Linked DNA regions of Oryzias latipes. The protein of the gene in region 1 purifies or fractionates together with the protein of each later gene. This does not show direct contact. Links are inferred from orthologs where the notes say so. Each region holds a gene or a part of one and is shown on either strand. Other genes may lie near its edges. The genes, in order: aurka, ppp1cc, fbxw7, ppp6r3, dicer1, calcium-binding and coiled-coil domain-containing protein 1 and arfgap1.

Region 1 (3,509 bases):
TGTGTTTGTCACAATATCACCAGTCTGTTTTCTTCTTCCTACTTATTCACAAATGTTACAAAGCAAAATGTTGGGTAAGTTTCAAATATTAACCAGTAGGAACTGTTTGTTTCTTTTGTTTGAGTCAATCTCAACGACAATAATAGGCGCAAAGCCCGTGGTTGACCTGCTGGAGGCTCCCGTTGTGGGTGTGGTCGACTTCACCATAATTCTTATGATTTTTGCTATGAGTTTTGTTTCAGAATTTGCTCTTAATATTTTTCTGAACTACTGGTATAACAGTTGTAGTCCTAAAGCGAGGAGCTAAGGACGCGTCTACGACTGACATTAGGGATTTTAGTGAAGGTTGTTTAAACAATAATGTGTTCTTGTGATGTTTTTGAGATTATTGAGGGTGAGTTGTGAGAAATTGATTTTCGGGGTCGTTTTCGTGTACTTCATTGACGGTCCCTGCCGGACTTTGCTTCCATGTGAAGCTGAAGGCTGCAATTTTAACAGCAAGGCAGGAGAACTTGGATGTATCCATGTGTGTTCTTGGTTTGAGTTGGCGGCACCGACTGCAATAGTTACCGAAATGTGTTTATTTTTAGTTTTGGAAATTCTGTGAAAAGTTATGGATAAAGCATTGCTAAAAAAAAAAAGTGTACAATCCCTGAAAATCAGAGCCATCCAGCTGTAAGCAGGATCCAGCTCAGAGGAGGAAAAGGAAGACGGTAATGTATCCATTTGTCTGCAAGCGGATGCATCAGAATGGAGTGAACAAGTAGACTGGTAAAAACCCATTTCAGTTGCTGCGTCACAACTGAGTTTTTTTGCTGCACCTGAAAAAAGAAATGCTCAGGAATTCAGTTTTCTTTCCAACTTCCTGAATATATGTTCTCCAACATGAGAAGAATCCTACAAGAACATGTTAAAAAGCATGATTTTTTTTATTGGAGTGGGTCTTTAAATCAACAGTGCAGAGCAGTAAATGTCACAATGAGATTATGTTGTTGTGAATAAGCATGTTTAAGACGTAGATCATTTGTTTTAATGCAGATCTATAAACTCAAACGTGGAACTTTTATAAAAACGATTTATTTCTACACTTTGGTCAAAAGTTTTATTTCCAGAAAAAATACAAAAAAATTACCTGATTCCCTTTTTTCTGTCTTATAAACTTCAAGCTCCCCCCTTAGTTTCTCTGAGGTATTTAGAAGATTTCATTTTACTTTATCTCTGCCGGAATATTTGCTTAATCTTGTTCTGTATCTTTTTTAATTTTTATTCTCTTCTGTGTTCTGCAGGCACCCTAACATTCTGCGTCTGTACGGCTACTTCCACGATGCGTCTCGCGTTTACCTCATTCTTGAGTTCGCACCCAAAGGAGAGCTGTACGGCGAGCTGCAGCGCTGTGGGAGTTTCCCCGAGGACAGAAGCGCCACAGTGAGTGTGACCACTGAGGAGCTTTCTTCAACCCAGATTTAGAAAACACTTGGAACATTGTTTAATACGTTTATGACATTGTTTAAACGGAAGCGGTAATTGCTGTTGCATTTTTTTCACCATTGCGTATACAATATAGACCAAAGGTATGGACACACCTTCCCATTCTACTGAATGGGAAGGTGTGTCCAAACTTTTGGTCTGTACTGTAAATGCATATATTTGTCTTGCTTTTGTCACTTTTATGCATTGAAATTTGCAGCCAACTCGATTCAGACTTTGTTTTATTTGCCTTTGAAGTACATCATGGAACTGGCTGATGCCCTCCACTACTGCCACACAAAGAAGGTGATCCACAGGGACATCAAGCCTGAAAACTTGTTATTGGGAGCCAACGGGGAGCTCAAGATAGCTGATTTTGGCTGGTCTGTTCACACGCCTTCATCAAGGTACCAGCATTCTGCATTTGAATGCAGTATTTATGCATGCCTGTACTTTATAGTCAAATCTGTTTTTTTATTTCCTCATCAGGAGGTCGACTCTGTGTGGAACCCTCGACTACTTACCTCCAGAGATGATTGAGGGGAAAACTCACGATGAAAAGGTGGACTTGTGGAGCCTGGGGGTCCTTTGCTATGAATTCCTGGTTGGAAAACCCCCCTTTGAAGCGAAAACCAACGATGAAACATACCGGCGTATTTCAAGGGTACGACTACCAGCTACAGTCACAAGTTCAGAGGCTTCAGTGTGGTATTTTAAATGCCAGATCTTGTTACAGGCAAAGCTACTCCAGCAGTAATTCAGCTTCTCTGTTTCTTACCAATAAACCTTCATTCCTCTTCTAGGTGGAGTACACTTACCCTGCACATGCTGCTATCAGTGATGGAGCTAAAGACTTGGTTGCCAAGCTGCTGAAGCACAATCCCATGCACAGGCTGCCCATCCAGGGGGTCCTGTGTCACCCATGGCTGCTCCAACACTCCACCCGAAAGCCCACCCCCCTTACTGATGAAGAGCAGAGTCAGTGATGCTCCTGAAACGGGATTCTGAATGATCCCGAAACAGCAGATTGTCAGTGTTTTTCTTTTCAGGTGCTTGTTTTTCTCAACCACCACCTCTTCACAACAACCACTTGTTTTTTTGTTCTGCAAACATGTGAAACCTCTGGTTATTTTAACTTTTTATTCCGTTTCCTTTCTTTCAAGTGGCATTCATTTGCCTGTAAATATTTTTCTGTTACTGCTAAATAATGAAAGTTTTATGAAACCTTTTTGTGTTGAAAATGGAAAAATAAATGTTTATGCGCCATCTTTAAATGACACATCAGTGGAAGGCGATTCTGTTTGTGTTGCTCATAGTTCAGTCTGCTGTCTGAGTGATGAGCCGGGTCAACCTGAACTGACGAGGATTCCACTAAACCAGGAAACAAGTCTTAGTCAAATAAAATGTTTTCTAATCTATTAAAATGGTGCACTGCAAATGCATTGTCTGTCTAAAAAACTATTCAAGAGCTGGATTTAATCTTTCATGTTTAATTCATAGCAGTGACTTTACTTTTTGAATCAACTACTTTTTGCACAACTTCGTTAGTTTTTTTTTTAACACAAAGCAGAAATTGTTTTCAGGGAGGGCAATGGTAGCGTGATATTGTGCATACTGAGGGGAATATTTGAGTTTAAAGAAATGTAGCAAAAATTGAAATGTTTGTCAAAAACAGTCTACATTCACAAGGAGGTTAAGTTTGTCCTTTACTGGTGGACTTTTTTTTATTTTGTCTACAAGTAATGAGGTTTTGTGCTGCAAAAACTTCAACCCACCTGTCAGTCATGGTCACGGCAGACTATTGTGTCTCCTGAATGCAGGTGTTGATTAATGTGTTGGTCACTTCAGTGACACCTGACAATTTTTCACATAATTGTCACATTTTTTTGTTGTGATGTTCTGATCCAGATATTCTTCCCTATTCAGACACCAACAGAACTTGCAGGGGGAATGAAAAGTGAAGGAATCTGCTGGTGTGTCTGATTGGCTTCAGTTTCATTCAGTTATCTGGTTGGGGTTTCAACTCTACCTCAGTTTTGTAG
Region 2 (3,529 bases), on another chromosome or scaffold:
AGGAGCCACCAAGTCTAACCTCATCCTTTACAAAAACATGACACTGATTTATATTTATGTTACTGTTACAATAAATATGAATTAAATTAAGTTTTTTGCGTAAATAAAACAAAGAGAAAAATGTCTTTTTTCAAAATATAAAATAATTTATAACTTTTGACAGAGGTTCTGACTTCATTTCAAAATAAGACATTTTGTCACATAGGATCATCTCAATGCAGCAAATGTAGTAGTAAGGAGTAATGTCAGTACTGATTAAAAAAAAAAAGTTAATTTCAACATTTCTGGTGCATCTCAGCCAGAAATGTGTAACTAACAAATCAGAATTAAATAAGAGCTATTTAGGTGACCCTTATCTTATTTTTTGAACCATAAGGTGCACTTAAATCCTTTCATTTGTTCCAAAAATAACAAAAAAAAATCCATCTCATAATCTGGTGGTCTTTAACTCTGGTTGTGCCAACTGACCTTCAATTGATTTTCCGTTACATGGTGCAAATAAATCTGTTAAAGTGTGATACGTACCGTCCTTCAAATGTTTGTGAATGAGTTTTAAAAAAAGTTTGAGTTAACTTACTTTTTAAAAAACTTTCTTACTTCCCTTATAGTTACTTTTAAATATGACAATCATTTTTCTTTAACCAGAGAGCCACAACAGAGCGATAAAGAGCTGCAGGTGGCTGAGCGCTGGTCTTCGTGGGTGTTTTTTAGTACCTGCTTTATAATTCATGAGCACTTATTTAGACACAGTGAAGTTTTCAACTTTTTATTTTCATCAAGAGCCATAAAAGTTTTAGAAACAAATAACATTAAGATATCAACCCCCCCCCCCAAATACTCTCAAAGTTTATTAGAAAGACTTTGATATTACAGAATGTTTCCTTATTCGTTTAACTTAGCGCGACTTATTTAGAAATATGATGCAATTCTGACAATTCTCTTTGACACTGACAGTCAATGGAGTTTACAAAGGTAAATGTGTCTGTGACTTTCCTCATAGATTTATAGCCATTGTTTATTATTACTGACAGTGAGGAAAAGAGATGACAAATAAACGAGACATGGAAAAGTGGAAAAATTGTGCACAGCTTCAGACAAAGGCATTCCTGTGCACAAGTAGCCGTATTGTTACATTTTCCTGATTGAACAGTCATTATGTGGCAAAGACTAGCTGCAAATGGAGTGCAAAACACCTGAGGTTTTCCATGGTGACTTATCAACTTACCCCTTGGGACAAAACAATAAAACATTTTGTTTCATCGAGTGGGAGCGGGTATCTTCAGTATTGGCAGCGTGAAGAAGACCCGATCTTTCAAATGCGGAAAACAAAAGCAGACCAGAGGAGTGGGACTCTGGCCCCCACCAGCTCCCTGGCGCCTGCCTCATTTCTTGGCTTGCTTGGTCACCATGTTGCGAGGGGGAGTCACAGGACGACTGCCGTTGGGCTTTTTTTTCTCAGCTGGTTTCAAGATCTGCAAATCCAGTGTAAAGAGTTACGCCTTTGTTTTATCACATCCCAAAAAAAACCACACACCCAATAACAGTCCTTTGAGGCCTAGACATTTCTTATTTTCATATTAAAGCTTTTAATAAAGAATAAATAAACAAATGTATACTCAAACTAAAATTCCCTAGTAATACAGAATAAGAGTTACATTTCCTCTTTACTGCTACACAATAAACGATTTCTGCTTGTAAGAAACGTTAAAAAAGAAACAAACAGGTTAGTAAGTGGAATATGTTAATACGGCTTCATCTCAACAACATGGATAAAAGTTATGCTTTAAGAAAAAGGGTGTATTTTCCATGTCTTTGTTTTGGAAAGTTAACCCCGCAGAGAAGACTTCCAGCTGTTGCTGCTGAGAGGCAGCAGCTGCAGCGCTTTATCCACTTTTATAGCTGTCTGACTGCTTTTTTACTCGATCAACACAGACATTTGGAGAAATCAAAAATCAAATACACCTATAGATTCTCCCTGAAGATAACCCAGGAACACTAACACCAAGAACGGCAGCATAAACCACTTGATTGACATTTCGAAATGCAATGTCAATCTTTCTTTAAGGCAACTTTCTATTAAAAATTGACTGTTTTTTTTGGGGGGGGGGGGGGGGGGGGGGTAAACCTGCAACCTCCTTCCCATCATCCTTAACCAGGAGCTCTGTGTTCATATGCTCTCCCACTATCTTACAGCCCCTAAAAACCCAATATTACATTAGTGGTGGAACAAAAATGGCGAGCAATACTAAAGGGTTCCAGTCATACAGTTTTGATCCAGATTCCAGCTGAGACAAGGAAAACTAAGACGTAAATGGATCTATTTGTTTGCATCAGAATAGAGTAGAGCAGGGAGCTTGAGGCCCGCCCAACAAGGTTTCTACGTCACACATACACCTTTTTATAAATAGTGTTTTTATCATTTTAAAGAAAGACATAGAAATGCAATTTTAAGCTTAATATGTTTCCCTTGTCATCAGAAAAATGACAGAAGACCATGCTAAAAACACCAAAAACACACTTTACCGAAGTGGGTCTTTGAATAGGGAAGAAAAGGAATGTGTATTTTTGTTTAGTTTCCATCACTCACTTAGTAAACATTTATTAAAAAAGCAAATCAATTGGTGTTGGAATTAAAAATGTATAAATCAAATCAATATTTAAGTAACTGTATCAAATCCTTAATCAAACTCAAAACAAGCAGTTATGTTTTAATGTCTTGAAATGTAATTTTCTTTAAAGGAATGCTTAATCTAGGGTTAGCCTGAGATCATATTGGTGCAAACAGCTTATGGTAGTATCTTCATGAATAAAGGTAGCCCACCTGAAAAGAGCACATAAGAGTCTCGTCGACACTCATCATGGCACCAGCATTGTCAAACTCCCCGCAGTAATTTGGAGCTGAAAACAGGGTCACAAGCTGCCTCTTTGCAAAAAACTCATAACCATCTTCAACCACCTGAAAGAGGCAGAACGACAATAAAGGGGGTTAAAAGAAAATTCCAAAAAGTGTGACATCATCACGCTTAGTTTTACTGTCACCATGATTACACTCTCTCTCAACTAAAGTGCAGTTTTTTTTAAAACAGTTGCATTTAAAAGGAAATTGATTTTAAATGTCAAAGAATGTCATTTCTATTCAAAAGCTCAGGTTACCAGAAGAAATGCTGTTTTTTCAGGGGTCAAAAATAAATGTCTTTTGATACACTTTAGGTTTCAAAGTCAAAAACAAAAAGTAAACACTGTTTTGTTCAGACAACAGCCCTGAAAGTTAGTTGCACAAGTCGTGATGTTCCTGTATCACAATGTTCTGCCAATGTGCAGAAGCTCCTGCAATTCAGTTTGCAGAACCATGAGGTGACGGTTACCTGATGGGCACGACAGATCAAATCCAGGTCGTGCTTGTGCAGGAATTTGGCCACCACCTCCGAGCCAAAGGTGAAAGACACCCCCCTGTCATTCTCCCCCCAGCCCAACACATCCTTGTCCGGATCAGACCAAAGCAAATCGCACAGCAGGCCCTGGTCGGGCA
Region 3 (4,160 bases), on another chromosome or scaffold:
ATTCAGACATATTTATATAGAAATACATTAATACTTTATATATGTTTAGAAGATGTTCATGTTCATTTAATACAGTTCACATCCTGTAAAATGTATAAGTGAAATAATAAACTAATGAGATTGTTAACACCAAACAGCGTTACATGGTTTCTGAAAAAGGAGAAACTCCAACAAAAATGTGCAGGTCATTAACACTGTAAAAGCTCTAAACTGCCTCATATTACCCAGTAAATGATCTGCGTGTACTGGAGGGCGTTTCAGTTTGCCCACTAGGTGGAGCTCTCGTTATAGCATTACACTTTCTTCCAAAAGATTTGAGCAAAGAAAACAAAAGAGAGCTTTACACCACAGATTTACCTTTAAAAAAGTTTTGCTTTAAAGGAGTTTGGAATATTCATGCCTGTGAGTATATAAAGTTGTTCATTAAGTCAGCAATGTATATTTATGTCGGCAGAGCGTTAACTGTCCTAAGGGAAGGGAACTTCCATTATACGTTGCATCAAGCTAGCAGACTTTGGCTTTACTGCTATTACGTGTTCGGTCACCAGAAAAGGAAAGGCAAAAGAAGATCAATCTCTACTTTTATGGATTGATTACTGATGTATTAAGTTTGGATCGATTCAGATTGAGTAATCCCTAAAAAACACTGCAGTCTAGAATAACATTACAATGACAGTTCTATAGAATACAAACACCCAATAAGAGAAATATATACATGTATATGTGTATATATATTTATTTATTTATTTATACATATATGTGTGTTCCTGCTTTCCCAAAAATGATATTCAGCTCCTTGATTAAGGTAAAAGCAAATGCAACATCTGGAATAAAGATAAATATGTTTTTTAAGCATTTTTAAAAAGTTGGCCTGACTTCTCCTCTACAGTGGCTGGGCTTGAAATGTATGAGACATGAAATCTGAATTCTTGTGAGCGTACCAAGAGAATATTGAAAGCAATGACTTTAAATATGTCAGGATTCAGGGACAAAAAAAAACATGAATCGGAAACAAACATGATGGGGAATGTGAATGATTTCAGACAATTGGCTCCTTGTGGGGCTTAAGGGGCTGCAACATCCACACTGCAAGTAAAGCATTGAAACACCTCTTAAAAACATAAGTTATCGAACATCTGTACTCAAACACATTGATTAGAAAGATTTTTCAAATTGTAATAAAATAACACTGATAAATAGATGGTTTTATACATTATTAACATGTGACAGGACACAGAGTTCCTTTTTGCAATAACAATATTTTTAGAGAATATTTGTAAAGCTTGTCAAGTTGGCTGGGGGATGGATCTTCTAAAATTCCCAGAACCAAAAGCTTGTACTTGCTTTCATCCAAGTGTTATGTGGCCAAATCCTGCATCTTGAAACACGACTACAGAGGGGCCAAAGCAAACAAACGGCACAGAAATGTGACAAACACTCACAGCAACATAGACAGACTGCTTTGGCATAAGTAGTTTTAAATGGCATAAATATCATTCGAAACCAAGGATTAAAGCATTGTAAAGGCCATGTAAGGAGCCAGTGTAATAAACATCCCTTTCAGAACAGGTCTTTCTATTAATAATAATGTAGTCTATTCAGACTTAAGTCTATTCAGATAAATAGACAAACTGTAACTTAAAATCAGCTTAATTCCACAGATTTAAGGAATGTAAATTATCCCACCATTGCTTTTCAAAAGATCTTTGACTCAGATATCTTAGGGGAATAAAAACAAATCTGCTTCTTTAAAATTCACTGTTATTATTGGAACTGGAAAAATGCACAACTTTACCTATATTTGATATTTTCTCCCCAGGCTAAGTTATATTCAGTAAATATCGTCGCTTTATGCTTATTTTGCAGGAGAATCACCAACACTTGTAATTCTTCGAATATGCCCACTCATCGAACGATAGACTGAAAGCCACAAACTCCAATTGTAACAAGGCTCTGAAAGTATCTTTCTTTGGATTTCCTCACTGGTGTAGGGTAAAGTAATTATGATCCCTAGTTATAAGTTTTCAAGTAAAATAGACGCTCTTAGTAGGAACTGTTGAGGAGTATCGCTTATGCCACAAGATGGAGCCAATCACCTATAAATCTAGTATACAGTGGGAATTTCAGTTTCAGTCATTCCATCTAAGTGTTTCACATATATGTTTTATTATTATGAATGAATGTGAATGGAAATGTGTTCAAACAAAAATACTTTAAAACCTTTTGGTGCAAATTGTAAACGGTGATTTTCCCCAAACAAAGTTCACACTTCTCAGCTACAAAGAGAGACCATATATAAAGGAAACAAATGGATTTGTTGATGTCTTACCTTGTCCTTCTTGTTGGAAGGGCTTTGGGGTTTACATCTAGAGTCCTGATTGTTGGGGGCAGAAACCCTGTTCGCGAAAGAGGGGGGATGCAACTCTTCTTCCCCTTCACCTCCCTCCTCCTCCTCTTCCTCCTCCCTTTCGCTTTCTGCTGAATGTTCAAACTCATCGCTGTCTTGGTCCATCTCCTCCTCATCCTCCTCCTCTTCCTCCTCTCCTTCTCCCCTCTCGTCCCTTCCTTGTTCATCCCCTCCCTCTGTCCTCTCCTCAGTTTCATCCTCCTCTTGGTGGCTGCTGCTGTTGTTGTTGTTGTTCTCCTCTTCTTCCTCCTCCTCTTCGAGGGGTGGCTGCCCTCTCACCTGTCTGTGTTCGGTCCCCCACATCCACCTGGCTCCTTTTTCGTCTCCGTTCACTTCGTTTGGCGGGGCTCCTTCATCTTCCTCCACCTCCTCGTTTCCCTGAGGGCCATTGCTGGCTCCTGATTCGCTGGGCTCCCAAAGCTGCTCCCTCTCACCATCAACCTGGGACACCTCGGGCTTTGAAAAGGAAAAGAACAGCGGATGCTTATGTGAAATGCCTTTCAATTCTAAGGCTATAGGATGTTAAAACAATGCTAAAGATGATATTTTGAGTACCACCTAAAGAGAATTAAGTTTTAAAGTTCAAAGGAATATAAGACTGCTTTTAAAGAAGTTTGTGAATCAAAACAGAAAAAGGTTGCAAACTTGAACCTAAAAAAAACAAGAACACTTCTGGAACAAAGTTGTACGCAGAGACGATCCCACATTGAGAAGACAGTGAAGGGCTGTGTTTACTCAAACTCCTAAGGTTGGGTGGGTAACGTTTCTGGCTTCTGCCAAGACTTTATATAAATCACTTTGTTCTGGAGCTAGATGTGAGGCCATCCATCGAATTCTGTGAGATCAAAGCGACTCATTTAATTACTTATTTTACTAAACTGAGAAATATAAGATAAAAAAAACACAGTTGACTGCAGTCTAGGCCTCTCGTGTAGAGATGTTTCTTTACAGGCCAACCCAAGAAAACACAATTAAAGAGTTATGCATTTCCTTGAGTTCATATTCATAAAGAAGGATCCCTACGTTTTTTTTTTTAACATGTTAGGGAAAACTTAATCCACCATTATCAAAATAGTTATAAATCTTTCAAGTATCAACACATTTTTTATAATCTTCCCCCTACATAAAAGGGAAATGTTTCCTAAGCATGAGCTGGCCTCACCCTCTGTTGCAACTGCTCATCCTCCTCGACAACCCGGTTAATGTGCTCATCCTCGTCGGCTTCTTCTGCCGCCTGCTGGGGTGCCCGGGTCGTAGAGGAGGTGTTACCTCGCACTGCTGGACCCCCGGGCCCCCGACTCCGCCTGCTGCTGCTGCCCCCCGACAGCAGATCCTGGTTCATTTCTAAAAGCCAGCTTGCTACCTCCTGGACCTTCGCTAGGCTGTCTGAAGATGAGAAGGTCTTGACATTCTGCAAAGATAAAAAAAAAATAAAAAGACACAGATGTTGAAGGTTTTACTTACTTTATTTATTTAGTTAGATGAGGGGAGGACGTTTCATTAACCCCTCATTTTTGAATAATTTGATTTATGAATACTATATTTTAAAGTAGCATAGAGCTGGATGCTCCTACAATTCTTGATGTGATCAAATTTCATTTGGCACAGAGTAATATCTTTCTGAATTCTCCACTAATGAAACCATGCTTTAAGCACTAGGAACTCTGAAACAGTGTTTCTGTGTTTGACATGCCCCTTTGGGTCAATTCTGAACATTCAATACTGATTTGACTGTTTTTAGTGCTTGAATATT
Region 4 (4,160 bases), on another chromosome or scaffold:
ACAACTTCCTCCACATTCAGGTGGAAATCTGCACAGCCATGATTCTGGCTATGCCCCCAGCCCCCACAGACATGCAGCCAGGCACAGAGCAGGAACAAGCAAAGGACAGCATGCTGATCAGACATGTAAGGCTGCTGAGGAAACAGAAAAAATCCAATTATGTCTTTAATGATAGCTTATGAGGGTAGCAGAACTCAAATTAATACACTTGTTGCTCTGTAAAGAAAAAGCTTTTGTATCCAGATTACTGAATTACTTTTGTTTCTCCTTCAGCTCTTTGAGAAAAGTCAGTTTATCCAGAGAATCGTGGACGCCTGGAGCTCCAACGAAAAAGAACAGTAAGGAGTTCTGCTCAACAGTCCAGTTACTGCAGGTGTTGCTGCTTCTATAGCCCATCATGCTGTTACTTTGTGTATCACAGGGCAGAAGGTGGGCGGCGACGAGGCTACATGGGTCACCTGACCAGGATAGCCAACTCTATAGTTCATAACAGTGATAAAGGGCCAAACGGGCTGCAGATACAGCAGCTCCTCTCTGGTGAGGCTCTTTTATGTCCTCCAAATGAAGTTTATTCAGCGTTCCAGGTCAGAATTACTGACACGATCAGATTATCATTCAAATGTTTTAATATTGCTTTTTTATTGATGTGGTTGTTTTTTTTAATGTTTTCAGTTCTAATAATAGTCCAAAATCAACTATAGTGGTAGTTTTAATCTGTAGTTTCTCAACAATCATTTCTTGGAGTAAATGCGAAATGGCAAATGTAATACTGATAAATGCAGCAAAAGCTGATGCTGTATAAACAAAAGCTGCATCAACATGAGATTTAGAGATTCAACAGCTGTGACATGAGATTAAATAAAGGATTCAGCCTTTCAGTTAAGGCCTGTTCACACCGGGACGAATTTCGCCGGCGATTTTCGCCGACGTTTAACGCCTCGTGACTAAACAAAGGGCACCAACGAGAGTGTGCACACCGACGCGAAAAAACGCCAGGCGTTAAAGCGTCAAAAAAAAAAAACCGCCTCGGGTTCGTTTTTTTTTTCGACGCGTCGCGTCGAAATCTACTCGACCAATGAGAACGGCGCTTTTGCTCACTAGTCTGGAGCTTCTGAAGTTACAGTAAAACACAACTTGGGGGCGCTCAAACACAAAACTGCCATTCTGAGCACACATACCAGCGAAGAAGATAGACGCCAAGTAGCGTCTACACAGCCGCGAAGCAATAATGACGGACATTCTAAAATATCCCCGAACCAAGCACCAGTTGGAGCTACTGGTGTTTGAAATATTCATGTTTTCTTTGTATGATTCTGACAAGCGCGTAAATACTTGCTCTCTTCTTCTGAGTGAAAAGCGACTTTAAGAAGCGTAAAGCTGCGCAGCGCCACCTTGTGTACAGGAGTATTTCTGTTTTACATTAAGCGCCATCTAATGTCAGGGAAGGAAATTGCATGTTCACTCCACTCATCGTCAGCGAAAATCACCTGGGTGTGAACACAAAAGACGTGGCGAAAAACGCTGGCGAATAACGCCTGGCGAATATTCGTCCCGGTGTGTACGGGCCTTTACTTGTAAAAGACTTTTCTGTTCACATAAACCAAAGTATCATCTGCATACATTAGAATTAAAAGTACAGCACGTAGTGATGAAAAATCATTTGATATGAAAACCCAGCAGTAAAAAAATAAGTTGAGCCCTGTGGGTTCCCCTGTGTTTAGTATTTTGTTTGTGAATATGTGTGAAAACAGGGAAATAGTTCCTCTGAGAGTGCTCTGCTTCTGGGTTCTGCTTCCCTGTGTTTGAGTCTGACCTGACCGACCTGATTGTGTTGGACAGAGCTGCCTTCAGAGGACCGGGAAAGATGGGAGGCCTTTGTTTCTGGGCAGCTGGCTGACACAAACAAGAGAAACGCAGTTGACTTGGTGAGTGATCGTGTTGTAATCACAGGATTGCTGGTAAGCTGTTTTTCGGGTTGTTTTGTCTTTTTTCCTCTTCTCTTTGCATAAACGTTTGTGACTCACCCCTTTTGCGCTTAGCGCTTCATAAGTCGTTTACATAATGTTGTACGTCAGAAGTAAAATGCCTCAGTGAAACTCACAGAGCTTTGCTGTATCAAGCAGCTTTATAGACCTCCTACAGACTATTATATAAAACAGTGATGGCTGCCAAGTTAGTGACTATTTCTGGTGCTGCGATTGCAACTGTTTCATATTGTTTTATTATGAAAGGTGAAAATAGTTCACCTTTGTGCATGTTTGTTTCTCACCTTTGTGCATGGTGTAATGTATGGCTCTTTAAAAAAATAAAGATGTGAGAAAGTATGAAATGACAGGCGGCCCCCCCCCAAAGAGTAGGGAGGAAAAACTGGCAATGATTTACTCATTTACAATCCTGAATGTTTTAGGCAACATAAGGACAGTGAAGCCAAGGGCTTTGTTTTCATCATGGACAGAAAATGTTTGGGTTTTTCTCTGAAAGATGAATACAAGACCAAGGTTTTTTTTTCTGGTGGTTACATCTAGATCTGGCAAACAACTTTGAAATCATTTTTCCATGTGAGCAACAGTATTTGAACATCAAGAATTAACATGTAATAGAAAATAGGTAAATATTTATTTGAAAATTCCCTGCTGTCAGTAATTGCATCAAGTCTGTGAGTCATTGACATCCCAAAGGTTGTTTTTGTTTGTAATACTCCTTCAGTTCAGCCTCTTTGGGGGTTGTCCCCCTTTAGTCTCCTTTTCAGCAGGAAGAAGTCTTCCTTTGTTGGGTTTCAATGTGGACATTGACTTGCTCATCTAAAACTTTGCACTTCTTGCTTTTTACAAACTTTGTAATTAGTTTGGCATTGGGCTTTGGGCTTTGTGGCAGAGAAATATCTAGTTAATTTTGCTGCTGCCATCAATGGGCCCATTCCAAAGAGTTTCAAACCACAGCACTACCATCACTGTGTTTCTCAGGTGAGCTTGTGTCTTTGGGCTCATGAGCAGATTCTTCTTCCGTCTTACTTTTGTCTTTTATCTTTTAAAAACTTATCTGTGTCTCACAACTCTTGAAGCTAATCTCTGTCATTTTTAGCAACAGTCAGCCTAATGAGGGATTTTTCTCCTCTGGTGTAGCCTCTCTACCTGAGCTGATTATTGTACCTTCACTCCATCTTTGGAGACCGTTGCTGTTGTCTCTTACAATGTTGTTTTCTTCTTATCTCTAGCTAGTTTTCTTATGTGATCTTCAGGACTTTCTAAATGGATAGCCTGGCTTTGACCATGTGTGTTTAATTACTCTGGTGGATTTTCCTCCTTCTCTCAGCATTTTTACTCACGGTCTGGTTTTCATGTTGGTTACACTTCTTTACTATTGCATTTAGAAAAACTCAAACCTGGAACTAACCATAGACATTTCACTGCTGATTGTTATGATGGGACAATCAACACACAGTTTCTGTCAGATGCTCTTTGCTCACATAAGGATGAATGAACTGTGATAACTCTTTCACATTCACATGTAAAAACTCAGTGGTAGAAGCTGGCATGCCAGTTTCTTGTCTGATTTTCTTTTTTGATGTGACACCAGGTTTCAATCAATAGCTAAATTAAAGGAATTGGCCTCCGCACCCCTGGGGCCTTTAACTGGGGGGGTGTAGCTGTCTGCTCCTGTAACTGAACGTTCTTTTGGTGTACGCCTCACTCAGGTCAACACTCATCACATCCACTCTTCCAGTGATGACGAGGTGGACTTTAAAGACAGTGGGTTTCATCAGGACTCCTCCCTTCAACAGGTAAGTTCAATGCACACACTTTTCTTGCATTGGCTTCATTTAGAAACGATGCACATGTTATTCAAATATTGGGAAATCCAATTAGCTCTTTTTACATTTGAATTTAAAGCTGCGTGGCCCTTGTGGCTAAAGAGGCCACTTCTGTAGTTATAACACAATATAAAAGTACTCTAAGCTTAGTTTCCATAAGTTGTTTTTATTATCGAACAGTAAAACGTTTTCCCACACATCACAATCATTTTGAGCTTATTTGCAGGATGTAATGATTAATAATGTGAAGTGCACATTTCCAACCCAGGACCCAACAGTTTGTCTTTATTAGCTAAACATATGAACATAACACATTAAGAATGTCTCTAACTGTAAATGATCTCTACCA
Region 5 (4,658 bases), on another chromosome or scaffold:
AATTACTTGTAAGATGCCCTGCCAGAGAGTTGTATTGCCTGATGGCACGAGGAACAAAAGATTGTCACGCTGTCACATTCAGTAATTCCTAGAGAATAAATAAAAACACAACAAACATGGATTAGATCATTTAGCTGTCTGATCTTAAATTACATAATTTTCAAATATATGAAAGGGGAATTTTTTTAAAACACTCTTGCTATGATAACTTGAGCTTGTAGTAAAGAACACCTTTAAAAAAAATCAGAGACAAGACACTGATCACAGGAAGCCTGTGTGTAATACTTACAGTAACTTCTACTCTAATCACTGTTGACAGCTGATTTCTCCCATCCCCCCATTCTGTGACTACTTATCGACTACAAAACAGCCTAAAAACATAATGTTTGGGATTCTTGTCATTACGTCATTGGAAGTAAAGATACAGGGAATTTAGTGGCTGTCACTCTGACACAATCTCACAGGGCTGGTCATCACAATGAATACGGGTTCTAACGTTAGAAACTTAATGAGGCTTCTTTCATTCAACAGTGGATTCATGTCTGTTATATTTAAAAAATGCCGTTTTCATGAATGTCATATGAATTAACTTTGTTGCACAGTCCACCCCGTCTTAAAGTCTGGGTTGTGAAAATGCTGTGTCTAACTTTAACCCGGATCGCGTTTACATAAAGGCAGCACACGGAACAACTAGCTAGTTAACATAGCATAGCATCAGTGTTTAAACAAATCGCCGTCTCCAAATCAATACTTTTTATTAAACTTTCTTTGCTGCTGTAAATCCGGCATGTTTTCCCCTTAGTTCTATCTGAATCATGTTAAGAACCTACAGATCATTGGCTATAGACGCTAGCTTGAACCGACACCGGCTTGAACTTCACTCACACTCACAGGCAGACACAACTTGCACAGGCTAAGCAAAACAAAGCTAAGCTAATTTGCGGTGGGGGTACTCTGCAAACGACTCGGCTGCAGTGTTCATAAAGCATTCACACATGTCACTTGGCAAAGGAAAACGCTTCAACTTAGTATTCAATAACATTACAGGACGTACAACGAGGGAATGATCAAATAAATGCATTACTTACGGGCTGAGACTGATCCCGTTCAGAAGACCTCTCCGCCATGTTTGCCGCCCGCGTCCTCCCAACTGCTGTGCAGAACAGCTCCCTCCCTCGTCACTTTGAAAGTGAGGAGTGTAAGGGGCCATTAGATTGGCTAAAAGCGAACCCGCCTGCTTTGCCAATGAGTTTGATTGACAGATTCACTAGCCAATGGTGAGATTAGTCGACCCGCTCCGTCAGATGAGTCTCAATATTCACCGTAGAAAAATCTCTCACACACACGGGGAGATTCACAAACGAGAACGGGATTTTGAATGCACATTCTGCAGTTCGAATGATCTGTGAGTTCACATCACATGTGTACCTAAAAATCATGTTTGTGAAGCACTTACTGTGCATTTCTGATACATTTATTTTGAATTTCTAAAATGTTTTTGTGAAAAACAGTGTGCACATTTGTGAGAAACACTTATTGTGCATTTGTAAAACATTTAGTGTGCATTTGTGAAACACAATCTGTGTGTTTGTGAAACACAGGGTGTGTATATCCGAATTTATTTTTCACGTTTGCATAAAATGACATTTGTGAATCGGAGCGTGTGCATTTGTAAAACAGATTGTGTGCATTTCTGATTATTGAGACTGAATTAACTCCATACAATACAATCAAACTGTTTTTCATTCAAACTAAAAGCAAAAGTTTAGACAATAAATTAATGTGTTTCAAAGATCAATTTTGAGTCGCTGAAATGAATAAAGATCATTTCAAGAAACAGAAATTTAGCAGGTGTCTATTAACTTTTAATAATTCATAAATCAGCTTTATTTATATCAATTCCCAGCATTCAATGCTTTAACTAAATAACAATACGGGTCCAGGAGGTGCATGTGTGGTAGAATATCAGATTTGTTAAAAAGACAAAAATCTATGTAGTTGTTTAAAATATCTACAAAGATTCAACAAATCAGAAAATAAACCCAAAACTGTGAACTTGCTATCACCTCTACAGTTGGTAAACAGAAACCACAATGAATTTGGCCAGTCGGCTGGACCTGGACAGCAGATCTAATGATTACTAAAACCTGTGTCAGTTTATCTGGATCTCTAATCAAAACCGATCAGAATATCAAACTTGATCTGGGAAGTCTTTTTAATAACGGATCACTCCTGTCCAGGATCACCACAGCCAGATGTTAAAACGCCTGAGTGACGTGACAGCAGCTTGAGCTTGTGACAAACATTTGAACGACACACGCTGTATTAAATCTCAATTTACGCCTTTTTATATTGTATAAATACGGAAAGTTTTTTTCTGCAAAGGGAAGACAAAAGCAGGCTCGAGGACGCGCAAACAAGACCTAAAAGTAAGAGCCTCCGCGTGTCTTTGGACATCATCCAATCCATAGTCTGTCCGGCGACACAGAGACCGACGCCGCGGCGAAAGCTAACGCAGCTAAATGTTTAGCGGCGCGCGGGACTAAACCCGGTTAAAATTCCCATTATCTTATTAAAAAATGCGTCTTATTAGGGAAGAGCGGCGCACAAACTGATAAGAAATGCATCCAGCATGTAGCAAAAAGCGTCTCTACTCTCACTGCAGCCGCCATGCCGTATCATCATGTCGAGCTAGCTAACGGCTAGCAGCACCAGGGCCATTACATCCATCCACAGTAACATTCCTGTACGAAGAACCGCGCGCTCCGCTCGTGAACTCACCCACGCGGTTATTTTTCCACCGAACGATTCGTCTGAACAGAAAAGAACTCGTCTGCTGGAAACACTCACTGGCATCTAGGCGAACTGTCCAGATATGCGGCTACTCGTCCACGGGGGACCACTTCCTTTTCCCTGGGCCTCCGCTACGCCTCAAGTTTACGTCATTTGCGTAGCCGCGGCTCTGGTGTACGTAATTAAACGTCTTCCTGTTGTGGCATGTTTTGTCCACTCGGGGGCAGCATCAAACAAACTTGGGGATCCGCTTGTTTTGAGGCTTCTTTCACCAACGTAGAGTTCAACAGAAAAACACAATTTATTTATGTTTTTTGTTTAAAGGCTTAAAAGAAAATTCAGTGCTTAAGAAAAAAACCCCGTCAGTTTCCAAAAAATCCCTATCTACAAAAAAATAAAAAAATGTAACACCTGACACTTAATAGAAAATAGTGAATATATCACATCAATGTCAAAAATAGAAAACGGTTCAAAAAAATAATTTAAAAGCTTTAATGATTTTTACTAAAGAAAATTCTAAAAATTTATTATAAAAATAATTTTAAGCTAAATTGATTCATACGGCACCGTAAATGACCGCAATCAAACAAATTACTGTACATCAAAAGCTCAAAAGAACAAAAATAACAACTAAGTAAGAGGTTAAAATAATTAAATATGTATTTTTTTAAGTAAGATAAGGATGTAACAACACCATAAAAGCTAAGCAAAACTGTAAAGCAGTAAACACACCAGCAGAGCAGAGTCATGCTGTGTCAAAGGCCTGGTGATAAAAAGGGGTTTTAAGAAGTTTTTTCTTTAAATGGAAAGTGAAGATGCCTGTCAAACGCTCAGTGGTGAAACGTTCAACAGCTTAGGTGCACAGCCTGAAAACACTTTTCTCAGGAGAAGCTGATCAGCAGACCTGAGGCCTTGGGTTGGGGTGTAAGGACACAGAAGCTCAGAGAGGGACAGCGGTGCACAATTGTTTAAAGATTTAAAAACAAATAAAAGACTCTTAAAATGAACTCTACAGTTCACTGGCAGCCAGTGATGGGTATCCAGGATGAGGGTGATGTGGTCCCTCATACGAGGAGCAGCGTTCTGGACCAGTTGGAGATGTGAGAGGAATGACTGCTGACTCTAAAATAGAGAGAGTAACAGTAATCCAGCCAAGATATAATGAAAGCATAGATTACTGTCTCAAAATGACGTTTTGGTAAAAATGGTTCAACCTTCAACAACTGCCTAAAATAAAGTAAGATGGATTTTACCACTGAGTTAATTTAACAGTCAAGTTTAAAATCACTGTCCATTTCAAAAGCCAGGTTTGACACAGATTGTTTTAAATGTGGAGCCAAGGGACACAACTCCACTGAGGAGGATTCACAGAACCTTCCTTTGACCAAACACCATCACTTCTGTTTTTTGTCATTAACCTTAAAAAGCTTTGGGCCATCCAGTCTTTGATGTCTGGTAAACAAGACAGTATTGGTGTAATGGAGCAACCTTCCATTATTGGTAAATACATTTTTAAAGCTTTAAATTTGGTATGAAATGATATTCATATTTTTAGATGCTTTTGTAAAGTTTGACAGCTTTGACCTATCAGACCTGAACCGGTAATTTACATTTATTACATATAATTAGACAAATAACGTTACAGTAAGTCTGTTGCAAATTAATGTTATAAAAAGTACAGACCCCAGTTGATGTTTCCCCGTTTTTGTATAAACCTTCTGTCTTCTGGTATTTTTGGAGACAATAACTCAAAAAGGGTGTAAACAAACACAAAATGACCTAACAGGAAAATGATAGAACGATCACTTTAATTCAGCAGTTACAATACATATCAATTTGTATAATATATAAGATACTCTAAGCAT
Region 6 (4,597 bases), on another chromosome or scaffold:
GTGCACAAAAAGTGAACTTAGGGCTGCGGGAGCACACTTCCCCCTGAGCATCCACATAGACAAATTCATACTCCTGGGAGCTGGGCTTAGGTAGGTAGGAGGCTAAAATGGGGAAAAATGGGATTTCAAAATTAATAGAATAAAAAAGAAAACAATATATAAATATACATATTCTTACCGTTTCCCTGTTCTTATTTGTTATGGTGTAAGAAAGGGAATGCAATGATTTGAAAAACTTGGCATTTTTAATTTATGATGCATATAATTTCAGTAATTTGGCTTCAAGTCTGCAGAAAAGTCAGTTCTGAAGGGAATTCTGTAACCAAACTGCCAAACAGGTAAATCTTAGGTTTTAGGTAAATGAAAGAAACAGGACCTGTACAACATAACTTAAATTATACTTCAAATGACCCTAATCCCTATGAGGCAAATATCTAAAATGGGTTCATCCAGTTGGTCAAATGGATAAAGGGATTTATTTGATTTGTTAGATACGTCAAGCTGCCATATGAATGTCTTAGCACATTTAAGGTAACCATTAATCGCAATTTTCGTCTCTTATGGAATACGCATGTTGCACAGTTTGATATCGCGATAACTATAACATTTTATTTTGCAGGTCTAGTACACACCTATGCATATAGGTGTGTGTATGTGTAATATATATATATATTGTTTTTTTTTTAGTAGTTTCCTGACATGCAATTGGTTAAAATGCAGAACTTTTTACTATTACGGGTATTTACTACAATTAAAACTGTATTAAAACTAAGCAATATAAAATATCAGAACAGTATTAAAACTAGTTTCTGGGTTTACAATTTAATTATCAAGTTTTTGTAATACATTTCTACTCAAACGTAATTTCATTTGGTCATAAACATTTTTCACATATTTAGTGATGCAACTGAATAATGACTGAATTTTCTTCACTAAGACGATTATTCATTAAGTGAAAATAAAACTGAAAGTTGTTTTACAAGAAATCATTGATTTAATTCATTAATATTGTTTTATTAAGTAAAGATAGTTCCTTTATTTTATAAACCAGCCCTAGTTTATCAAAAGATAAAAATGCAGTTTTGCCTTTTATTTACTAAATCACTGGCAGTCGGGAGTCATTAATGATTTCTCTTGAGTTTCAATTCTGCCTTTTGTGATAAATAATTTTGATTCTAAATGTAAGCTAACTTTGCAATAAATCACAGTGCGATGGTTCAATCCCCCACCTGCTGCACACGTGTTCCTCCCAGAGAACAAGAAATCTTGACAGACCCTGACACACACAACACCATTTTCCGGTGAGTACAGCAGGCTCCAGCCCACTGTCTTTGTCATCATCATCATCATGGCCTCCTGCTTACTCAGTAATGTTATTCTAACCAAGTCACAACTGATCAAACAAAGCAATTATTTGTCTTTTGAAATGACCAAAGTTCCCCCATTTTGGCTTTGACCCTTTCATTTTTACTGAAATACCTCCAGCTGGTAAGTACTTGAAGAAAAGGAGCCTGAGTACCTTGGAAATGCACACAGCAGTTGACATCTGCACCCTCTTGATAGTCAACTGGAACCAGAGCCCAGACAAAAGTGTGGTAATCCTTCACTGAGGACCATCCCACCTGAGATAGAAAACACACACTTTTGGTTAGCTTGCAGCCGCATTAACAGTCTGGGATCGCATACTTTCAGTGAAACATGTCAGAGTAAAAATACCTTGAAGAGCCCAACCCAATCACTGCTGGCCCACTTGTGCTGTGCGCTTAACGTGAAGTGGCAGTCAACTCTGCTCTGAGGGAAGTAACTGCATCCCACGTTTCTAAACTCCACCTGCCAAGTGTTGTCCATGGCAGCATGAAAAAAAAGACCTGTGCAAGAAAAATCAAACCGATGGCAGTCATTATGGTCCCATAGATTAAAGCTGGCACGAGGGAACGGAGCAATTGTGAATGGGAGAGGGGTGATAGCAGGCAGAAAATAGGAGCAAGCCAGGGGTACATGAATATTTACGCAGAGTAAGAAGATAGCTTGACTGAGAGTCCAGTGGAGGAGTGGAAAGCTAAGCCTGAGTGACCCGTCTTTGAACAGAACCACCCACTACAACTCCTTTACTGTGGCTATTTTGGTCTGAAGAAATCATTTGCCGCTGTGCTCCATCAGGCAGATCAAGGTGTCCCATCAGCATTGAGAGGGAGGTTGGAGGGATCTCAGATTTCACAGGCAGGCGTATTTTTGGAACATCTCAGTGTACTTCTTTTGCTGACAGAAAGCATTGTTAATTTAGCACTGAGTGTCATGCAACCTTCATGTGGATGACACCAACCCAGCTTTGATAACGGAAATGGCACATCTCTGTTGCACATGTGTACACAAAACAGCCATAAGAGTGCAACACTATAATTACAGGATGTTCGGCAAGTGCGCATGTGCTGTGTCATGAGGGCATATTGACCGACGACTGTTAGTTTTCTCTACTTATGTGTGTGAAAATGTTCTTCCTATGACCCCTGGGTTGTATTAACATGACAAAAATGCACTGTATAAATGCGTGTTCACTCTTGTCGACCCGGTGGAAAAATCACAGCTAAAGGGAAAGAATTTGCAGCAGTTCTTTGAGGTTTCATGTTACACATGACGAGGCTTGAGGCCCTGCAGCAGCACATGTCGAGGACGCAACTCTGACATGCAGGTCGAGGAACATTTCGGAAACAATCGTTCAAGTACATTCCTATATACAAACATTTTTAAGATTATTTAAAGATGTCCGATTAAATTAGACAAACAACAGCTTTGTTTACAAAAAACTAAAACATCTGCGCACTGACATTACCTCCAAAGTCTCGCAGTTCTTCAAGTCAGAATTCTGTAAAAGATGACAACAGATGCTGTTCATTAGGACTTATCAATCTATTTTCAGTAAGAAAATGATGACACCACGTACAGGACTGTCGTGCTTTTTTCCTTCACGCGTCCGGCTTCTCTAGTAACACGAAACAATAACAAAAAGAGGGGAAAAAAGCCAAAGCAAAACACAAGCGCGACAGCATCACCACCCCGAAGAACTCTGGGAGTTGTAGTTCACCGGTAATGGAAAACCTAACAGATTGCACCGAATTGAACTTCAACTCCCAAGACTCAAAGAGATTGTGGAGAGAAGAACGTAGGATGACGCATGTAAGCACACGCCGTTGCTTTTCCGCGTTGACTTTTTTCCCGTTTTTTTTTCATTTTCTTTTTTTTTTGTTTTGTTTTGGCTGTACCGCTCTTCGATCTTCAAGCTTGTTAGCTAAAGTGGATAACAAAAGCAGAGTTATTGGACGTTATATATACTTTAAAATGGGATAAAAACAGCCATCTTGTTTGTAATGTTCTTGTCCCCTCCCGGCCTATAATAAACTTTAAATAGAAATCGACGCAGTTGTTGATTTCGCTTAACCTGTTGTATTTGGAGGGATTGCTTTCCTCGCGTTCTAAAGTTGTCTATGATGCTCTGCCACAGAAAAAGAAAAACACAACTCATTGTGCAGAATATTGAGATTTCAGGATGGAACTGTTCTTGTCAGTTCAAGATTTAGACGTGTTTTACTTTTTTAAATTCATGATTACATTTTTGTCAGTGTTGGAGCCTGAAGATGCTGTAATGCTGGCAGCAGGTGGCAGCACACCATCTTCAAACAGACACTTAAACATTTCAGGTTCACATACATGTAAGCTGTATCCACCCAAACATCCTCAAAGCACTTCTATATGTTTTTCTGCAGATTCCTTGCCCTTCTTCTGTTTTTCCAAGTTAAAAAACAGAAATTGGATGGAAACATGGATATCATATGTGACAACCAAACCACACATTTTTACTGTTGGAAGAGTAAACAACATTAATATTCCATAAGTTAACGCACTGAGAAAGCTCTTTAAATTGTGCACAAGGCTGTTGGAAATTGCACAGAATAAGGAACCCTTACAGCATTAAAAAATATAGCAAAAATTAAAATATAAGATCGTTATGGTTCAACGGCGGTACTCTGTGTGATATTTATCATATATTAGTGCTATCACATTGTCCATAACTGTCTTATTGATGAATCAATCTAGCCAAATAGTACTTTACTCCTCCTTCAATTAGTGGGGCTAGTTTGGCTAATTTAGTCCGTTGACGACACTACAAAAATGCTTCATGTAATTTTATGCCGAAGGACAGTCAATAGTGAGACCCTATAAATTGTGTTTAAGTGGATTAATAGTGAGCTGAGTCTGTGTGAGCAGAGTAGAGATAGAGGAGAAGTAGTGTCTCTCTTGAAGTAGCATAATGAAATAAGTTGTACATGGCAACGACTATCTCATACATTACCCAATGTTTACTGGAGACAAGGCTATCAAGAGATGCACATAAAAATGACTTCTTCATTTGAATTTATTATATAGAAGTACAGAAATCTCATGATGGATCCTTATCTAGGTGGGACTTCTGTGAATCAGTGTAAAGGTCAGATATGAGTAAACATTGCATGATAAATTGGATTCCACCATTTTGACTTTGTTCTTCTTTATATAATTTTTTATTGGTTCATAAACATTTCTGTCTGCTTTCACTTGTTAA
Region 7 (4,700 bases), about 16 Mb from region 1:
CAAACTCCCCAACGACAGGCTGAGCGACAGAACTGAGGGCCAATCAGATCTCTGCATGATGCGTTCAATGAACTCCGGAACTTATAACGCAACCCAACAGCCACCCAGTTAAACTCAGTCCGCCACACTATGTTTAAAACTAGAAATACAAGTGAATGTGTGCATTTGATGTCATTATGTAATATGTAACACTTTTAAAGTACGATAAGTTTATGGATTCTTTCTAATAACATTGTTATGCTGTTGCTAATAAATGATGAGTATTTCTTAGTATTAATACAATTTCTGGTTCCGTGTGGTTTTGCTGATGGTCTAGGCTGGTTGATAGGTGGTGAGTTTCAGCTTCATGCAGGCGTTGAGACTTCAATACATTAAATGTGATCGTAGGTTGGTCTGAATGTTCTTTAGATGTGAGAAAGACTGCTCACATGCAGACGTGGAGCCAAACACACACTCACGCTGCAGTGAGTGACGGGCTGCGTGCTTTAAGTTATGACAATGTGCCCACTACCCCCCCCCCCTGCCTCACACATCCCGTCCCTGCAACTGCGCGCTTTTTCTCAGAGACGGGAGTGCACAGTTGCAGGTACGGCAATTAACAGGTTTCCGGCTGGTACAAACTCTGAAATATCTCTGGCGCAGATTTTTTTTCTCTCTCCAAGCACCGCTACTACTGTGCGCCCCTCTGGCATCGCATCGCGCCCGAGAAGGACTGGTCCAATGAAAAAATGATTTTATAATTAAAGATTTGTCTGCAAGCCAGATGTGACCATCAAAAGAGCCACAGGTTCCTGACCCCTGGTCTAAGCCATGTGACGGACAACATTAGCTGGTTTCTACTAAGGGAAAAAGTGAGCACTGGACTTACATTATTCTCATCTTGGGTTCTCACATCTTTCAGAACTCTTCTGGTTCTCGGACTTGCCATGATGACCAGATCTAAAAGAGTCAAACATTTCATTTAATACAGACTGATGAAGCTACTTAGATGATAGGTGAAAAGTGTCAAGGGAGATTTTAAGTCCAGACACCATGAATCACATTCAAAAGAACATCACCAGGACGAATGAGAACCTTCACAGACAATTCATTCATTTAACAGATGTATGTAAATAGAAAGAAGAGCAAATTAAACTGTTTTCACATAATGAAATATATTTCTTCTACTCCCCTTCATTTAAAATTAGTAATTTCTTATTTTTTGAAAAATGAACTAAACGAAAAAGGTGGACCAAAAAGCTAAGAACTACGAAATAAAGTCTGCAGAACTGGAAAGAGCCCAAAGAAAACAGGTAGAATGACAGACAGGTGGATGAAGCCACATTTACTGACAGAAGGATGCAGTCAATGCTACTCTGAAGGTCAAAATTACCAAAGGTCCCCCAAAAAGGAAGCTAAATCACTAAATAGATTCTTTTCAAATATGAAAAAAAAAGAGAAATTTAAAATTTTTCATTGAAAACACAGTTTTTACCAATTCATCTTAAACCTAATTATCCAGCAATGCACAATGTGATGTTTATTCAAAGTTAAAACAAACAAATGACGCACCATCATCAAATAAATAAAAATATAAATGTTCGAGAAATAATGGTTTCACTTGTAGGAATGTATTGGCATAAACCTACAAGTAATCTGTAAGTATTAAGGATAAACCCATAGTTATTCTTAATATTGGAAATTTGTGTCCATTATTAAATGCAAAATATTAAATTAATTCAGTTCCCTAATTTACCCTCATTAAGTTCAATTTCTTAAAAGACTAAACAAAAAATGAAAACCTAAAGAATTTACTAAAAAACAAACTACACTACAACTAAAGAACTAAGAAGTCACTTTAACAGGAAGTTCCTGTAACTTGACTGAAAATGGACAATTGTTTATTATTTACACAATTTCATTAATCTGTTTTATATACATTTGCATTACACACTTCGCCATTCATTTTGTATACCACATTTACATTGTTATGAATCAATGTTGCCTTTGTAAATATTTTTTCTTGATCATTGCCTAGAAGGCTAGACATATTAGTCTATTAATATATTGGTTTATGTCTGACATCCTGTTTTCAATACGTTTTACTGTTTATTATTGTTATTTTTTATCATTCAAAACCATATGTACAACATATAACGCCTTAAGAAAAGAAGCTTAAAGTAAACAGCATTTAAGTGCAACTCTTTTTCTAATTTAAATTTAAATCATCCATTTTAATGACATCTTAAGCAAAAAAAAGGGGGGGGGGGTTGTTTCATAACATACAGATTACAACCCCCACGAATGTTCAATGTTTTCAAAAATATTTATTCCTTTTACTTTATTTATTTTGTGTCAGGTTTGCTAATTCTCTGTGACACCACAGATATTTTTGTTTTTCCAAATAAACTCTGATATTTCTATTTTATTTTACATTTGACAAAAACACTTAAGTTAAAGAAGATCAAAAGAAAAGGCGACATGTGTAAAATAGACAAAAAATTGTATGGAAAATTTAAAATGCCGGGCATCAATAGAACTGCATTCCTCACAACATCTGTTCCTGTGTTTACAAATGTTAGACAGCACAAATGTCTAGTACGTGAACATCCTTTGGTTGTGTTTTGAGTTTCTGAACAAATAAAACAAAATGAAAACACGAACTAAAAAGATTTTCGATTTCGCTAACGTTAGCTACCTGTTGGGTTACCTTAAATTATAGGAACAAGGACGTTGTTTTCAGTATTCAGACTCCGTGACGGCGCTTTGAAAGGTTTTATCTTCAATCCCGTCGTACTGTCACAAAGTCTACAAGACAGAATGAAAAGAAAGTTTTAAATGTCAGATGCTAAAAAAAAAACCGGTAGCCATGTTCCTGTTTGCATACGTTGGCAGTGCAATGCATCCTGGTAAAACGCTCCTGTTTCTTCCTCGTGTTATTACGATTATTACGATGCCTATTGGCTTTGAAATCTCTACCGCCACCTACTGGATGGAAGTATCCTAGCAGGTACCAGTGCAGTTTTTTGAAGCAAGTTTTCTTTGCGATTTTACCAGATTTCATTACTCTTTACACATTTACAGTTAATTGTTAAGCATGTATGTCTAAAAATCTTCTATGTTAATGCCTGCCAAGGCTACTCACGCTGAAATACTAAGATTATATATAGATTATATATATTAACATTTAAAATTACAGTTTAAGTAAATTATTTGTAACTGCAGGAGTCAACACACTTTAAGTCACCATAAAGAATTCAGTAGTTTTTTTAGTCTGAATGTTCCTTTCAATTAAATTAATTTAAATTAAATAGTTTTTCAACTATTTACCATGTGGTACAATGATGAAAGTAACAGTTGAGGAGATAAGGTTATATGGAAGTTTCTGAGGGACTAAAGTACATCCGTGTCTGAAGCACTTACATGTCAGAGTTTTTTCTCCCCCAATGCTTTTAGCTGAGCTTATCTTGCAAAAAAAAAAAAAAATGCATTCATGCGCTATAAAAGAGAAGAAACAAGCGTCTCTATTGACTGGTGAACCGACATGACGTCCTCCACAAGCCTGAAGGTGCGCTTGCCCGCACTTGTGTTAGTGCTGGAAATAGTAATAATAGCACTTTATGCTGTGTTTGTCACCTATGATGACGATTCTAATGCTAAGCTGCAAAACAATCAGACCAACCCCATGGATAACGCGCTATACCGGGATTACCCCTACTTTGCTGACGTGCAGGTGATGATTTTCATTGGCTTCGGTTGCCTGCTGGCTTTCTTCCGCTTCTACGGCTTCAGTGGAATGGTCTTCAACTTCCTCACAGCAACTTTTGCAATCCAGTGGGCAATCTTGATGCAAGGCTTCTTCCAGTTTTACTATGATGGGAAGATTCACTTGGGAGTGATCAATCTGCTGAACGCAGAGTTCGCCTGTGCCGTGGTGCTCATCTCCTTTGGGGCCGTGCTGGGAAAAACCAGCCCGGTTCAGCTCTTGATCATGGCTTTGCTGGAGATCCTTATTTTTGCTGTGACAGAGTGGGCCGTACTTAAGTACATTAGGATCAATGATGCTGGAGGCACTATTCTCATTCACCTGTTTGCCTGTTACTTTGGTTTGGGGGTTTCATTTGTGCTGTACCGCCCCAATCTGAACAACGGACACGCTAAAGAGATCACAAGTTATCACTCTGACATCCTGTCTGTGATAGGAACTCTGTTCCTCTGGATCTTCTGGCCTTCCTTTAACTCTGCTCTTACCTTTAAAGGGGATGATCAGCACAGAGCAATTCTCCACACATTCATAGGTCTGAGCTCTTCCACCATCACTGCCTTTGCCCTCTCTGCTTTGTTCAACAAAAGGGGGAAGCTTACGATGGCTGACATTCAGAACGTGACCCTAGCAGGTGGTGTGACCGTTGGTGCTTCTGTGGACATGATGATTTCTCCTGTAGCTGCATACGTCCTCGGCGTCATGGGCTGCACCGCCTGCTTCCTTGGTTACAAGTACATGACCCCCTTTTTGGCCAAGCGAATGAGAATCCAAGACCAGTGCGGTATCCATAACCTGCACGGGTTAACCGGCCTCATTTCATCCGTTGCAGGCATCTGCGCCATCCTCCTGGCCACTGAGGAGACCTACGGACCCAGCCTGTATCAAATCTTTTCCCATCGAGCTCCTCCTGAGGGAGATCCAAAGCTGCTGGAGCTGCAGAAGCTTATTCCTGGTC

Evidence for each region.
Region 2: the proteins of aurka (region 1) and ppp1cc purify together in Homo sapiens (affinity purification with mass spectrometry; 3 studies listed by BioGRID, with this or other methods). This does not show direct contact. The link is inferred for Oryzias latipes from reciprocal best matches to the Homo sapiens genes AURKA and PPP1CC.
Region 3: the proteins of aurka (region 1) and fbxw7 purify together in Homo sapiens (affinity purification with western blotting; 5 studies listed by BioGRID). This does not show direct contact. The link is inferred for Oryzias latipes from reciprocal best matches to the Homo sapiens genes AURKA and FBXW7.
Region 4: the proteins of aurka (region 1) and ppp6r3 purify together in Homo sapiens (affinity purification with mass spectrometry; 6 studies listed by BioGRID and IntAct, counting the BioPlex papers as one, with this or other methods). This does not show direct contact. The link is inferred for Oryzias latipes from reciprocal best matches to the Homo sapiens genes AURKA and PPP6R3.
Region 5: the proteins of aurka (region 1) and dicer1 purify together in Homo sapiens (affinity purification with mass spectrometry; 4 studies listed by BioGRID and IntAct, counting the BioPlex papers as one, with this or other methods). This does not show direct contact. The link is inferred for Oryzias latipes from reciprocal best matches to the Homo sapiens genes AURKA and DICER1.
Region 6: the proteins of aurka (region 1) and calcium-binding and coiled-coil domain-containing protein 1 purify together in Homo sapiens (affinity purification with mass spectrometry; 3 studies listed by BioGRID and IntAct, counting the BioPlex papers as one, with this or other methods). This does not show direct contact. The link is inferred for Oryzias latipes from reciprocal best matches to the Homo sapiens genes AURKA and CALCOCO1.
Region 7: the proteins of aurka (region 1) and arfgap1 purify together in Homo sapiens (affinity purification with mass spectrometry; 3 studies listed by BioGRID and IntAct, counting the BioPlex papers as one, with this or other methods). This does not show direct contact. The link is inferred for Oryzias latipes from reciprocal best matches to the Homo sapiens genes AURKA and ARFGAP1.

The regions. Positions count from the first base shown.
Region 1 is NC_019863.2:11,348,613-11,352,121, reverse strand, and holds the end of aurka (aurora kinase A), read left to right. Parts: intron 1-1,286; coding exon 1,287-1,425; intron 1,426-1,725; coding exon 1,726-1,874; intron 1,875-1,956; coding exon 1,957-2,131; intron 2,132-2,270; coding exon 2,271-2,453; 3' UTR 2,454-2,883; downstream 2,884-3,509. UniProt on the Homo sapiens protein: Mitotic serine/threonine kinase that contributes to the regulation of cell cycle progression.
Region 2 is NC_019867.2:25,502,463-25,505,991, forward strand, and holds the end of ppp1cc (serine/threonine-protein phosphatase PP1-gamma catalytic subunit), read right to left. Parts: coding exon 3,366-3,529; intron 2,957-3,365; coding exon 2,822-2,956; intron 1,473-2,821; coding exon 1,383-1,472; 3' UTR 836-1,382; downstream 1-835. UniProt on the Homo sapiens protein: Protein phosphatase that associates with over 200 regulatory proteins to form highly specific holoenzymes which dephosphorylate hundreds of biological targets.
Region 3 is NC_019859.2:19,453,066-19,457,225, forward strand, and holds part of fbxw7 (F-box/WD repeat-containing protein 7), read right to left. Parts: intron 3,819-4,160; 5' UTR 3,750-3,818; coding exon 3,570-3,749; intron 2,864-3,569; coding exon 2,330-2,863; intron 1-2,329. UniProt on the Homo sapiens protein: Substrate recognition component of a SCF (SKP1-CUL1-F-box protein) E3 ubiquitin-protein ligase complex which mediates the ubiquitination and subsequent proteasomal degradation of target proteins.
Region 4 is NC_019864.2:5,097,356-5,101,515, reverse strand, and holds part of ppp6r3 (serine/threonine-protein phosphatase 6 regulatory subunit 3), read left to right. Parts: coding exon 1-125; intron 126-273; coding exon 274-338; intron 339-421; coding exon 422-537; intron 538-1,839; coding exon 1,840-1,925; intron 1,926-3,694; coding exon 3,695-3,781; intron 3,782-4,160.
Region 5 is NC_019880.2:4,314,175-4,318,832, forward strand, and holds the start of dicer1 (endoribonuclease Dicer), read right to left. Parts: upstream 2,954-4,658; 5' UTR 2,851-2,953; exon of another isoform or gene 2,782-2,850; intron 1-2,781. UniProt on the Homo sapiens protein: Double-stranded RNA (dsRNA) endoribonuclease playing a central role in short dsRNA-mediated post-transcriptional gene silencing.
Region 6 is NC_019865.2:12,641,983-12,646,579, forward strand, and holds the start of calcium-binding and coiled-coil domain-containing protein 1, read right to left. Parts: upstream 3,051-4,597; 5' UTR 2,942-3,050; intron 2,864-2,941; 5' UTR 2,831-2,863; intron 1,869-2,830; 5' UTR 1,849-1,868; coding exon 1,717-1,848; intron 1,623-1,716; coding exon 1,520-1,622; intron 103-1,519; coding exon 1-102. UniProt on the Homo sapiens protein: Functions as a coactivator for aryl hydrocarbon and nuclear receptors (NR). Recruited to promoters through its contact with the N-terminal basic helix-loop-helix-Per-Arnt-Sim (PAS) domain of transcription factors or coactivators, such as NCOA2.
Region 7 is NC_019863.2:27,793,922-27,798,621, reverse strand, and holds the start of arfgap1 (ADP-ribosylation factor GTPase-activating protein 1), read right to left. Parts: upstream 2,910-4,700; 5' UTR 2,867-2,909; exon of another isoform or gene 2,788-2,866; 5' UTR 2,690-2,787; exon of another isoform or gene 2,678-2,689; intron 940-2,677; 5' UTR 929-939; coding exon 869-928; intron 1-868. Other genes in the region: ammonium transporter Rh type B-like, read left to right, coding at 3,524-4,700. UniProt on the Homo sapiens protein: GTPase-activating protein (GAP) for the ADP ribosylation factor 1 (ARF1). Involved in membrane trafficking and /or vesicle transport.